3 linked regions of the Danio rerio genome follow. The protein of the gene in region 1 interacts with the protein of each later gene in a biochemical or structural test. Links are inferred from orthologs where the notes say so. Each region holds a gene or a part of one and is shown in the gene's direction. Other genes may lie near its edges.

Region 1 (5,019 bases):
TTTTATTCTTCAGAATATTTAATTAAATTATACTCATTTAACAGTTTAATAATGAGGCATTAGAATCAGAATGTGAAAGCATATACTAAAAAAATGATAAATGTTCAAAAAGGTAAAAAGCATATGCTGCGATATCTGCTGCCAGATGCATACCTGATTGTTTTCTCTCTACAGGAAGCAGATCTTGGATGACGACAAGCGCAAACTGCGGCTTTATCAGGAGCGGTACCTTGCAGATGGAGATCTGCATTCGGATGGTCCGGGACGAGCTCGCAGATTCCGCTGGAAAAACATCGGTGCGTCTCTGCTCATCTAGAGAAAAACTGACATTTTGTTATTGAGGCTATGAGCACATGTGCACGGGTATTTTTATAAACCGAGTTTTTCCTGCGTTCATAAAAAATAAACTAAAAAGATGCATGTTAAAGGCATGGCTAACCAACAGGGGGGTAATGACACTTATGTAGAGTTCACACCAAACAGGGAGTTAAGTAGGTTTAAATTGCATAGAAGTCAATACAAACGCGAGAACAGAGGTGGATTACTGTCCAACGAATGTGCAGAATTCACTTCAGTCACGTTTTTTTGTGTTTGGCCTTAACTCAACCGTATTGGCCACTCAGAAAAGAGAAAGACGTCGTAAGGTGAAAACTACGGTTGTAGTGTCCACACGGGTACGCACTACCCAGAGTATTAGAAAATTTCCCTCCTGGCCAACGTTCCCAACAGGGAAATCCAGCAACAATCAAGAATGCATGATTATATGCTGTCATGGTTTTCTAATCTAATGGAAGTCAATGAGGCAAAAACCAACAATAACAAATATGAGCATGCATGTACACAAGGGTTCAACCAAAGGGTTACCAAAGACAACTGTGGGAAAGAAAAACTGCTACGAGTGTAATATTGTGTTTATACAACAGCTCGATGGCACAGTCGTCTATATAAATAAGAAAATCAAACGGAGAGTCTAAAACCCCTTTTTATTAGGAACTACTTTCTTCCGCCATTCATTCACATCTGCAGCTGAGGTCAGAACAGCAGAAGCCGTTACTAATTCACCAACGTCACTTTAGAGCTAGTATTTGAATGATTCTCTAGCGTAATGTCTAAAGTGATGACAAAACTGCTGATTTTGCTCACACTTTAAGATTATAAGGCTGAACATGACATGGAGTGCCATCAGTCTATAGAGATATCTTCTTACAGTGTTACAGTCTACAGCAGGGGTGTCCAAACTTTTTTGGCCGAGGGGCAGATGCAAAAAAAAACAAAAAAAAAAACGTCCCGGGCCAAATTTTACATACATCACACAGACACGCATATATATATATATATGTGTGTGTGTGTGTGTTAATTATTTCAACTGTGTTTCTAGAAAGACTTACGTTTTTAAAATCTTGAATCTTCTCTAGGCAAATTACAGTTGCAACACTCATCAGACACTCCTATATAAACTCCTTCAGTGAAGGCTTTCCTGTGCATAACTACCCAGCATAGAATTTTCTTGCACTTTATTAGCATTAAAAAACTGCTGTTGAGCTGAAGGGGCAGCTGCTAACTGTTTTACTTTTTGATCTTGTTCGGCACCAGTGTAAAAGCTGAAGGCCTGATGCTTTGTTTCATAATGTCTTTTAATATTATATTCCTTCATTACTGCAACTGATTCCTGGCAAATTAAACAGATACATTTCCCGCTGACCTCTGTGAAGAAATATTCTTTGCCCCAACGTGACTAAAATGTCCTGCTTTCACTGTTGATTTTCCTTTTTCTTGGTTGTATTATGGCTCGCCAGAACGTGACTATCAATTATGTTTCCTTCAGTTTGTTCGGTTTCTTTTGCTTCATTACGGGAACTGCTGCCTAATTGAAGGCGTGTCATAGCGACACCCGGTGGTTATTTATTGAATTATGTTCATTTTTGTATATCGAGCCAGATTCTATTAATATTTATAAAAAGCCTCGCGGGCCGCCACAAAACTGATTGCGGGCCGCAGATGGCCCACGGGCCATAGTTTGGACACCCCTGGTCTACAGTATTTCTCTGTTGCAATTGGAATATTGCAGTAGTTAACCCTGAAAAAAGCAACGCAATCACTCCCAGACTGCTGCTGTGAGGAAAAGGCTTTGCTTATTTCAATCTGCCAACACAACACACATTCCTGATATGCGAGCAAATCAGTATAAATACAGCGCTACAGCATATAAAAGAGAGAGATCGACCAACATACCTGCTAACATGACTGAAAATCCGGGGGTAGGGGGTGTTCGGGGGTCATGTCTCTGACAAAAATCGGGTATGTTTGTGGGAGACTGGTCTGAAATACGGGACACTGGCAGGTGTGCTTACCAGTTTAATATTGATTTTGATCTGCTGTAGTTAAAAATCAGACTGTTATAATCTTATAAGTGTAAGGGCTTATTATGTGGTTCTGTCGCCATCTTGTGGATAGAAAATGTCAACCGTGTTTGGTCTACTCTATGGCAGGCTAATGGCTGCCGACGAGCTCTCTCAGAAATTGTAAATATCTTAAAATAGGCACTATTCTTACAAATAAACTGCATAGTTGCAATCTAAACAAGGTGAAGGATGAAGAGGTCTGTGAGTGATGTTACTGGCAAAATATCGCACTGCTATCAGCCAATCAAATTTATAAAAAGAAAATTATATATATATATATATATATATATATATATATATATATATATATATATATATATATATATATATATATATATACAGGGCTCGAAATTAACTTTTTTACTTGGTAGCACCGGTGCTCCCAACTTCAAATATTTAGGAGCACCAAAAATTTTTTAGGAGCACCAGAAAAAAATTTAGGAGCATCCACCAAAAATGAATGAGCACAGCTGCAAATTGTTTTTTAAGGGATTTATTGTATTTTAAAACAATATTAATAGGACTAACAAAAACCAGAAACAACTATCTAACTAAAGCTGCGAAGACATTGATATTTGTGTGCAATAATTCCAAAATGAATGTCTAATAATTAGGCCATAGAATATTAATGATGATGAAAATGACAATAATAGTAACAATGAATTCCATTTCTCATTATGATGCTGCCTTGAATGTGCATGAATGTAGGTTATCTGCTATTAAAAGTCTGTTACTTTATGAAAAATAATTGTATAGTTTGCATCAAACAAAAATGAAGCATTGCAGTAAGAAATATTTATTTTGTACTGCTGTTTTTATATGCATGTCAATTTAATAAATAATATTTCTGATACAAAACAAACAAAAGATTATAATAAATCATTCAATTCAATGATGAAAGCTGTAAAGCAGTCATCAGTAAATAAATAAAAAAATAATATACAACTCAAAAAAGAATAGACAAAAGAAAGTAAGTAAAGTCTCACTTCTATCACTCTTTAAAAGTTTTGGTTTCAGTTTGTGTCAATTTAAAGGTTCAGTCTGAGCTGATCTTCATTTTTCTGTGTTTGTGGAAAGCTGGCGAGTCAGCCGACCCAATTAATAAGTAGGCAGCGCAAGATTATTGCGCTAACCATCGGCGCAAATCCGGTCTTTGTTATGAGCCGCAGTTTCAGTGTAAACTTAGTAAAGGCGAGCTTCTTTGGCGATGATATGTGCAGTATTAGATTTGACTTTTAGCGGACATTTGCGCTGAACACGCAGTGAATGCGACGCATGGAGATTCGGGCGCCTTCTCCAAGAAGCGCGTACTCGATTGATCTCAGCTGGCGGATCATTATTCACCACGTGACGTGTCATGATCGCTTTCATCTGCGCCTCAACTTTAGGTGGGGTTTTCAAACTTGTGTGCTTTAAGTTTTTACTCTTCAGCCGTTTGCATTTCCTGTGGTCATAAAAGCTCCTTCCCTGTCATCTGACAGCGGAATACCTTGAGTGAATGACAGCTAATATGAACCAATATAGCGGCAGGGAAGAGCGATTCAGCACGTTTTTAGAAAGAACCAAAACAGGTCGCACTACAACCATTATCTGCAGTCGCACTAATGCTCCCAGATATATTATGAGGTCGCATAGATTAATTTTCGGGCGCATATGCGACCAAAATGGTCGCAATTTCGAGCCCTGTATATATATATATATATATATATATATATATATATATATATATATATATATATATGTGTGTGTGTGTGTGTGTGTGTGTGTGTGTGTGTGTGTGTGTGTGTGTGTGTGTGTATATATATATATATATGTGTGTGTGTGTGTGTGTGTGTGTGTGTGTGTATATATATATATATATATATATAATTATATAATGTAATTATGTAATATAATTTAGATTTTATATATAAATATATTAAGAATAAATATATAATATATATTTAAATACCTTCAACAAATAAATCTCTTTTGGTTATTTTGGTCACAGTCTGCTTGTGTTTTGAGCAGATGAAAACTTTGACTTCGGTGGATTGGGTCCTGATGGAGACGAGGAGGAGGATGATGAAGAAGTAGATCAGATCGAGTTACAGAGACGGAAAGAGCGTCTGGAGAGGGAGCAGTGGATTAGAGAACAGGTGTGTGTTTGTGTGCGTTTTAATGCTGTCTTTTGTGTTTGTGATTGTGTGTATCTTGTCTGACATGATGCTATTCTGTAGACTGAAGCTCGCGGCAAAAAGGGAGAAGAAGCAGAGGATGAAGAAAAGATTGGAGAAGAGGACAGTCAGTTCATGAAGCTAGCCATGAAGCTAACAGCTAAGACCCTTCAGAAGAAAGGTACAGGCATACATTTCTGCTGAAAGAGTAAATAAAACATTTCAGAATCAGTTTTTGTTCAAGCAAGAGTAATTATTAAAAGTTATTTTAGATGCTTTAGTAGGTATGAAGCAACTGTAGGTGTCAAAAATACTAATAATAAAATTATTTATGAAGTTATATTAGTAAAGATCTTTTGTTGAAATAAATAAATGCAAACTAATTCAACTTCATGTGTATATTTGTATTTTTAGGTGCTGTTTAACTTTATTTTATACAATACATGCTATTATATTTATGT
Region 2 (5,019 bases), on another chromosome or scaffold:
CTGTCCAGGCCGAGTTATGTTGTGCCAACTACTCTGTTTCATGGAATCAAACTGGTGAACCCCATGTTTCGTGGCTATGCTCAACAGGTATAAAGCAGTGTTATTTTAGTAAAGTCTGTATACTACTATTTCATGCAGTGCTTCCCACAGGTAAACTTTTATTGAGCTTACCGCTCAAGTATGTTAATTTTTTTTTGTATCCGCCCAATAGAACGAAACATCTACAATCGATTAAGTAGTGGAAAATCTTCTCTCGTTTACCCGTTTCATGCTCGATCTGTGTGGTTAAGACCTGTCGACCCTTTCACAGACAGTTTCACATTCTATAAACACCCACAGAGATGCGCTTTTTTTGTCAGACTGGGGTTTCTAAATCTGAAATTACCGGGATTTGACTTTTGCTTTCGCTTTCTAAAGCTGTCATCAATTATGCACACAGAGAGTGAGAGAAACATTAAATAATTATTTTTTAATTCTATATACTCAGAGAGGAAAGGAATTGAAAGAAATTATGAGTTCTAAATTAGCTGAAAAATATATGTACATTATTAGTATGGGTAATCAATTATTTTGCCCTATTTAAATTATCTAGATGTTTTATTCTTGTAATTATTATATTTTTTTGAGATATTGTCTACTTTTATTCCTTTTTTCTGTCATTTATTTCTAATTTGTTTTATATTTTATTAATTTGATGCCAATAAAGCAAACTGAACTTAATTGTGAGATAGAGTAAAGCAGATTTTATCTGTCAGTGGGTGTACATGGCTCCTGAATAGCCTAAAATTAAAAGAAATAGTGAATTTCTTTTTTTTTTTTTTTTTTTTGTACCTTAACCCATTGTAAGGAAACTGTTTCTTAATAAATTTAATTATTGTTAACAATTAAATTGTTATGTTTGTTGCATATAGTTAACTATTTATCTGATGTGGGTAAAAGGTGTGTTTCAATCCAGCTAGCACCGCAAATATATTTCAAACCCGTGGGAAGCACTGTGGTGTATTCTAGGGCTTCACAATATTGGAAAAAATACATAGCAATATTTAGCATTTTTGATATATATTTTTGATATATATATATATATATATATCATATATATGATATATATATAATATAATGATGATATATATATATAAGACCATTGATATATGTAGACCACTTCATGTTTTCAAGTCATTGATAATCCCTACATGACACTGCACATTCTGCCAATAGTGGATGTGCAATCTGAAAACAATCTGAAACAATACATTGTAGTAGCCCTAGTGTGTTTTATTTAAATTCCACTATAGTGTGTAGTGTGTTTTATTTAAATTCCACTATAGTGTGTAGTGTTTATTTATTTCATTTTTATTTTAATGTTTTTTTTCTGTTATATTATGGTAATATTATAGTATGTTATATTATTTGCAATTCTGTCAGGTCTTTTATTTAGGCTTAAAAAATTTTAGATTTAGATCTCTTTTATTTCAGTATTTTAGTGCTATTTGATTTTTTATTTATCAGTAAGTTATGCACTCACCAGCCACTTAATTAGGTACACTTTAATAGTACCAGATTGGACCACCTTTTGCCGTCACAACTGTCTTTATCTTATCTTTATCGTGGCATAGATTCAACTTGGAACTGGAAATATTCCTCACAGATTTTGCTCCATATTGACATGATAGCATCATGCAGTTGCAGTTGCTGCATTTTTCAGCTGCACATCCATGATGTGAATCTCCTGTTCCACCACATCCCAAAGGTGCTCTATTGAAGTTCTGGTGACTGTGGAGGCCATTTGAGTACAGTAAACTCATTGTCAGGTTTAAGAAACCACTCTGCGATGATTCGCACTTTATGACATGGCATGTTATCCTGCTGGAAGTAGACTTCAGAAGATGGATGTGGTCATAAAGGTGTGGTCATAAAGGGATGGACATGGTCAGCAACAATACACTGGTAGGCTGTCTGTGGCGTTGACACAATTTTCAATTGGTACTAATGGACCCAAAGTGTGCCAAGAAAATATCCCCTGCACCATTACACTACTACCACCAGCCTGAACCGTTGATACAAGGCAGGATTGATCAATGCTTTCATGTTGTTGACGCCAAATTCTGGCATCATCAACCATGTCAAAATACCTTAAAACACCTTTCTTCCCCATTCTGATGCTCATTTTGAACTGCAGCAAATTGTATTGACCACGTCTAAATGTCTAAATGCAGTGAGTTGCTGTCATGTGATCGACTGATTAGACATTTGTGCTAATGAGCAGTTGGACAGGTGTACCCCAATAAAGTGGCCAGTGAGTGTATTTTATTCAAAGATTTATTTCTTTTATTTATATATTTGAAAAACATTTTTACCTGTATTGTTAAAGGAGATTTGTGAGACAAGCTAGAGTATTTGGGAGTGAGGGTTATCAGGAAAAGTCTGCAAGCTTTAATTCGAACTTTAATTGCCCAGAATGCAGTGGTGCTACATGTCAGCATACCACCCACAAGGCTACCGGTGCCAGACAACATTGATTTTGAATAGTTTTGTTAAACAGTAATAACACTCATATGATGTCTACTGTGCATTTTTTAAAGACTATTATTTTCAAAGAAATAATATAAACCTCATTGACATTTTGTTTCTTGCCTGTTTCTAGGACACTCAGGAGTTTTTGCGATGTCTGATGGACCAGCTTCACGAGGAGCTGAAGGAGCCTTTGTTTGACTGCAGCGGTGGCATCTCTGAAGTCGAGCCTGACCTCAGTCTGGACAGCTGTAATCTTGTGGACGGAGACCGAAGCCCCTCTGAAGACGAATTCCTGTCGTGTGACTCTGGATCAGGAAGCGAAAGGGGAGATGGAGAGCGTGCAGGAGGAGAAGCAGAGCTCCTCATTCAAGATGAATGTGTGGCAGTGAGAGGAACCGGAGGCATCTCGGAGAAAGAGAGGCTGAAGGAGAGAAGAGGAGAAGAGAGGACACGTGAAATGGATGAGGATGCAGATGTGGACACAGCTGCACAAGACGGACAGGCTGAGAGAGAAACTGAAACAGCGACACCAGCCACAGCTGTGCCGGCACCAGGAAACACAGGTGTGATGGCCTGAAAATTGAGATTTTTTCATGTTTTTATTGTTGAAAGAGTTATGCTTACCATTTATTAAAAATATAATGTGAAATATTAATACTGCAAGCAGCACAGTGTGTAGCACAATCACCTCACAGCAAGAAGGTTGCTGTTTCGAGCCTCGGCTGGGACAGTTGGCATTTCTGTGTGGAGTTTGCATGTTCTCCCCGTGTTTGCATGGGTTTCCTCCGGGTGCTCCGGTTTCCACCCCAAAAGTCCAAAGACATGCACTATAGGTGAATTGGGTAAGCTAAATTGTCCGTAGTGTATGTCTGTGAATGAACGTGTATGGATGTTTCCCAGTGATGGGTTGCAGCTGGAAGGGCGTCTGCTGCAAGGAAAGAAGCTGAGTTTTCAGCAGCCATTTTGCCAATTTTCAGTGTCACGTGATCAGTAATTATTCTATTATGCATTATATGTTTCTTCTTCTAACCCTAGGGCTGGCAAATTAATCAAAGAGGATTTTTATGTGCATTTTTTCAGTGAAGACGGTTCTAGTAAAACTTCTATTCATCAGATGGAGCGGCATCTACTACACACAGCTGTAGTACACTGAGAAGCTACACAAAAATTTGTAAAAAAATTTATTTGATTTGCTTGGTCGATAATGACATTAAAATCATTGTTCTGTAATATTAACAGCTGTTGAGTTGCTTCTCAGTGAACTATAGCTCTGTTTAGTAAATAATAAAAGTAACATATAATAACATGCAACAAATAATAACATGGTTTAACTCCAAACTCGCAATAACTTCAGTGTTTGAAATGAATCTTGCTGTGAGATGATTCTATAGTTGTGCGTTTATTAGTCACACTGAATCAATCGCATCAGTTAAATAATCTGTGCCCACTTTTTCAAAAGCAGTCCAGTGGGATTTTGGATCACAGATTGGATCAAGATTTGGAAATGGGTTTTTTAAAGTAACAGTGGGATTTTTAATTAAGATCAGATCATGTATTGAAATCTTACATTTGATTTGGATAAAACCTGCCCTTTGGGTTATTCAAAACTTTAAACTTAGATTGGGATCTATTTGATAAAAAAAAAAAAAAAACGTGATAATCCTCATCCTATCTGAAGTGTGGATTTAGTTTTTGAACCTAAATGTTTTTTTTTTTTTTTTTTTTTTTTTAAGTTGTCACATACTTAATGGTTACTAATGATATATAAATTCTTTCATATTTGAAACCTTTATGAAGCATGTCACATCTAATGAGATATGACAACGACAAAACAATATTGAATGTATTAGAACAAGCTAAAAAAAAACACTCCTTTAAAACAATGACTTTTTGTGGCCACTGATATTTTGCCTACCGCTTGTTCTCTGCAAAGCCAGTAGGCTACACTGTTTGAAATGTAGATCACAGTGGTCCAACCCAATGTTCCCTTAAAAAACTGTCATAAAAGTTAGATAGATCAGTTAATCCTGGATAGCAAAACATGGAATTTTCAAATCTGGACCATTTTGATCAAGATAATTTTTTTTTTTAAAACTGGGCCTTGTTCATTCAGCAACCGCTAAGGTTATTTCCTGGCTTTCTTAATAGGTGTTTGGAGTTTCTGCACAAGAGCGCCCTCTGGCCTTCAGAGGAGATTTATGACAGATGTGCATGACAGTCATAGCTTTGCTCAATCACATTAGCAATCTCATTTAATATAGGCCACCCCTATCTATAATTCATTTGTAAATGATTGAAAATGTAAAGTGGCAAAGGAATCATGCCAAGCATAAATGAAAGATACTTCTCAAATATTATTTTTGAAACCAGGCATGACAACACTCTATTTACTAGATGCTTAATTTGTCACACTAGTTTGACTCAATTGTATCAGTTGAATCACGATGAACCCACTAACATGTGACAACTGACAAGCCTCCCTCATCATAACATTTTTTGTTATTATGT
Region 3 (5,019 bases), on another chromosome or scaffold:
CTGCTGTCCAGTCCAGCACTAAAGCACCGGCTAAAAGACCCTGCCCACCCTCACGCGTTAAACACAGCAAGGTGTCTGCACTTTATTTAATGAATAAATCATATTTTAAGTGATAATCAGTCAAACTGGGGAGCACTGCACTTCCAGGCCTATATTGATTCATTTCGTATTCATGTCAAAAATATGTGTCCTTCCTCTCAAAGGAACTGATGGGACTTGATAAAGCACCACGGTCTGTATTTGGGGAGAAAAGCATAAACAGCACAAACTCTCATAAACCAGGCTCTGACAAAGTTGAGGTTAGCTCTGTCTCTTCTCACACTGGTTGCATGCGATGCCGTCTGAATAACTATCAGCTCTTCACCTGTCACATTGTGTTTTAGGGATTGCTTTCAAAGCCCAAAAAGGAGGAAGTAATTCCACGCAAGATTGTTTCTGCCAAACATCGCTCCGTCCCTGTCAGAGCACCATTAAATCAGAAACAGAAACTTCCGGCTGAGAGTCAGAAACCTAAACCTGCTGCCGTCAACCCCCTACTCACCTGCAACTGCTACATGACTGACCGCGTCTGCAACATCTGCCTGTCCAGGTACACACTCGTCATCTATACATCAATCCAAACCTTAAAAAGCCTACTGTGGCATGTCTACGGTGAAGAAAAAAGAAAGATCAACACTACACAGTCTACTACATGCATCTATACTCTGTTTTAGCCCAATTCTAAAAACACCCACATTTGTCATGAACTGCTATCAGATTTATTGTTAATAGTGAACTAGTGATAGTGACTAGTGATTAGTTACATTTTGAGTGTTTAATAAGCTACATCAGCCTTTTCAGGAATTTTTTTTTTTTTGCATTTCTCAATAAAAACATTCTATTTGATGGTTTTAATTTAATAGTGTGGTTATTTTTTTCACAGGAAACAGCAGGTGGCTCCGAGGGCTGGTACCCCTGGGTTTAGGGCTCCTGAGGTTCTAACCAAGTGTCCCAACCAGGGAACAGGTAAAGCTAACAAAAGCAATGCTATTATTATTATTATTATTTTGGATGTGATTCAGTATTCCAGCTCACTGTATAGAAAATACTATCTCTTTAACAGTTGGTACAGTTCTGTCTTTTTTTAAAACTTGTTCATGGTTTCCGCCACACCAAAATTGATCCCGCCATGGCTACATTACAACTTTTTATTCATATTATTCAGTTCTGTTTTTTTTAATAGCGGGTGATAATCGTACCAAAACGTATTAAAAGGTAAGTGAATTATAACGGGGCAAACTTTTCTGTAACCGTAGTAGTACTGTGCGTTATTTGTTTAACCCTTTAAGGTTATGTGCTGACTGACAGATGCGTGAGGCCAGCAATTACAACGTATACTAGTTTAACTTTACTTCAGGGCGCATTAATACCGCTCTGTAGGTCTATTGGAGACATTCAATAATATTCCTAGCAAATCTAATAAATGTTGGAGACATACTCGTTACATAAACGCACTAAATCGCACCCAGCAGCATTTATTTGAGCGCGCACAAGAAGATCTGCGCTTGAGCAGCGTATATTTAAGGATGTGCAAGAAGTTTTGTGCACTAGCAGAGGAAATCGGCGCGCAAGCAAAGAGTTTCACATGCTCGTAGGCTATTACATAAATCCGATCTCAACTTGTAATACTGCGCTCACGACATTTGTCATTGAAATAACGCAACAGGTAGTTAGCAGATCTGTGTAAAAAAAAAAAAAAAAAAAAGGCCTGCCACCACAGCTGTAAAAAAATCCTAGTGAAAACACTGTTGTGTACTTTATACACGTCCATTTGAAATTTATAATGGTCATTCTACAATTGCAGGTATAATTGACGTTTTCTTACAGTAGTAACCTATAGGTTATATAAACTTGGGAAATAAGTAAAATAAGAAAAAAAGTTTTATACATGTGTGTGTGTGTGTGTGTGTGTGTGTATATGTGAGAAATATCACACTAGTACCAGTGTGCTATGGCTGTATTCACCTTATTCTCCGCCGACGAGTGGGTGCTGCCATTTGAATCTTTTTGGCTCTAGACTTCCGGTCTCATTCACTTCCATTTATTTTTTTAACGTTAAAAACTGCTCGTTATGCTGCTAGATGTTGCAATTAGATTTTTTTTATTATATTATTCTATTTGGTCTGTATAGTCATGCAAATATTTGTTTGTAGAGCAAGTAGTTTGACCATTTTCTGCTGTTTATTATTCCTAGTCATTTCTCCCATAGGCGACTGAATCGGAAGTTCTAAGACAATCGCGATAACAGGCGCACTTCTGCATTTTAGAATAAGGTCAATATCAGCACTGGTGGGAGGCGTGCTTTGTGCCCCACCAGTGCTGATATACAGCCATAGCACACTGCTACTAGTGTGATAATGCGTTTATACAACAGTTTGATGGCACAATCTTGTACATAAAAAAGAAAATCAAACACAGAGAGTCTAAAACCCTATTGTATTAGGAACTACTATCTTCCACCATTTATTTACATCTGCAGCTGACGTCAGAACAGCAGAAGCTGTTCTGAATCCAGCTTCTTATTCGCAGCTTGTTATTGTCTCTCTCTCTCTCTCTCTCTCTCTCTCTCTCTCTCTCTCTCTCTCTCTCTCTCTCTCTCTCTCTCTCTCTCTCTCTCTATATATATATATATATATATATATATATACATTTATAACAATTAATAAAATTTAATATTAAGTAATTAATAATATTTATGCTTGTATACATACAAGTTTAATAAAATATAGAAATAAAACTTATTTGCACTCCAAAATATATGTACAAAAAAGGTGTGGTTCTTCCCAAGGGGTTCAAAAAGAGCATTTATTAATATGGACTTTTTAGATATAAACCAATACTATTTTAATGTACCGACCCAGCTTTGTGTATATTAATAGACATGCACATCATTCAACTGTTTATTTTATAAAAAAATTTTTAGTTAATTTTTTTTTATTTTAAGAAATAATAATGTATGCAGTCATGCACGTTTTGACAGATAATATGATGGTGATTTGATGCTTCGTAAAAGTTGCAGACACCCGAAATCAAAATGCTTGATGCAAAATTAATTTAAATTCTTTACACCAATTGAGAAACTTAAATTCTATTATACTATAATAAAGAAAATTAGCTCTGAGTTAAGAGTATTTAGCAATTTATTTAGTTTTACATTCAAAGTTCAAAACCTACAACCAACAACAAAAGCGTATAGCTATTGCCTATCATATTTATCAAACCATTTATTACGAAGTTTATGCAATTTTTCTCACATGGATAATTGAATATTACTCAGATGATGTCATTATGGTGCTGTGCCATAAGCCAATCGTTGGTCATGATTTTGAGGATCGATAGATCAGTCCATCACAACAAGTGTACCGATCTCCGATCAGTTAATCCAGACATTTTAATGTTTCGTGAAGTTGTTTGAAGAACCAAATCAGCCAGAGATCAGGTATCATGATTAAAAGTGACAAATCATCCAAGATCATTTAAGCGAGGTACGAAGACGGGCCCATGGTCTGTCCCTACGTTCTGGTCAACTTTGTTACATCGTTTATATAAAGCTATGATGACATTCTTTAATTAAAGCACAGATAGACAAAGCATGTGACTTGCTCCAAGTTGGGTCACTGTCTCTGATGATAAACTCTGGAATGCAGGGGTCACCAATCTCGGTCCTGGAGGGCTGGTATCCCTGCAGGGTTTAGCTCCAACTTGCCTCAACAAACCTGCCTGGATGTTTCAAGTATACCTAGCAAGACCTTGATTAGCTTGTTCAGGTGTGTTTGATTTGGGTTGTAGCTGAAATCTGCAGGACACCGGCCCTCCAGTAACAAGTTTGGTGACCACTGCACTAAGGCATGTCATTTTCTCTCAACAATTTAATAAAAAGGTTTAGGACACCAATAGTAGATTAACCCTTGTGTGCTGTTGGGGATGTTTTCATCTGCTCTGGGATGATTTTGTGTCTTAATTTGGCCGCAACTTTCTCTGTATCTCAGCAAATGAAATGATTTTTGGTTAGAAATCTTATTTTGACATATTTTGAAAAAATGCTTTGGGAAATTTCAAAAATTCAACAATACACTTTGAGCAAAATTTCTACAGATTCATTATGATGGTGGCTGTTTTTGCCCCATTGACTTTCATTTTAATGACATTTTTAATTGCACCATATAATCATGCCTTCTTAATCATTGCTGTTTTTTTTTCCCTGTTGGGAAGAGATAAAATGTGTCATTTTTATTGTTGATCATCAGTTGCAGTGCAAAAAAAGCGTAATTTCTGCCTTCTATATGAAATTGTGTGTGTGTGTGTGTGTGTGTGTGTGTGTGTGTGTGTGAGAGAGAGAGAGAGAGACATTGCTTGGGAAAATCAAAACAAGCAGCTCAGGGAAAACCAGCAACATTCAGGAATGCATGATTATACTGTCATGGCTTTGCAATAAAAAATATCATTATAATAGAATTCAAGAAGGCAAAAACAGCTACAAACATAACAAAATGTTAGTAAATTTGAACAGTACACAAGGGTTAATTATTCATCAACCCTTTATTAAATTTTCTGTAAATTATATATACGTGTCTGGGCCAGTAAACATTTGGGTTTTTTCTCTGTTTACTGGCCCAGACATACATATATATATATATATATATATATATATATATATATATATATATATATATATATATATATATATATATATATATATATATATATATATATATATATATATATATATATATATATATATATATATATATAATTTACAGGAAAAAAAAGCCCAAATGCAGGTGAAGACAATGATTTATTGTAGAAGGCAAAAAATCAGACAGGTCAGTCCATAAGCAAGAATGGCAAAATAAAAAAAAGAAGAAAAATCCTCTAAAGGCAATGTCTCAGTCACAGGGTGAACAAAGACACAAAAAAACTCAAAATGGAAACAAAATGCTCTTCAGCAAGCAGTCCTCTCAGACTATCCTCTATCCTCTC

What was found.
Region 2: of the proteins of clspn (region 1) and usp20, one has a biochemical effect on the other in vitro, tested with the Homo sapiens proteins (2 studies listed by BioGRID, with this or other methods). The link is inferred for Danio rerio from reciprocal best matches to the Homo sapiens genes CLSPN and USP20.
Region 3: of the proteins of clspn (region 1) and cdc7, one has a biochemical effect on the other in vitro, tested with the Homo sapiens proteins (3 studies listed by BioGRID, with this or other methods). The link is inferred for Danio rerio from reciprocal best matches to the Homo sapiens genes CLSPN and CDC7.

Annotation. Positions count from the first base shown.
Region 1 is NC_133194.1:50,542,631-50,547,649, reverse strand, and holds part of clspn (claspin), read left to right. Parts: intron 1-174; coding exon 175-296; intron 297-4,412; coding exon 4,413-4,540; intron 4,541-4,621; coding exon 4,622-4,739; intron 4,740-5,019.
Region 2 is NC_133180.1:33,926,209-33,931,227, forward strand, and holds part of usp20 (ubiquitin carboxyl-terminal hydrolase 20), read left to right. Parts: intron 1-8; coding exon 9-87; intron 88-2,641; coding exon 2,642-3,074; intron 3,075-5,019.
Region 3 is NC_133177.1:11,291,857-11,296,875, reverse strand, and holds part of cdc7 (cell division cycle 7-related protein kinase), read left to right. Parts: coding exon 1-71; intron 72-203; coding exon 204-299; intron 300-383; coding exon 384-589; intron 590-922; coding exon 923-1,005; intron 1,006-5,019. UniProt on the Homo sapiens protein: Kinase involved in initiation of DNA replication. Phosphorylates critical substrates that regulate the G1/S phase transition and initiation of DNA replication, such as MCM proteins and CLASPIN.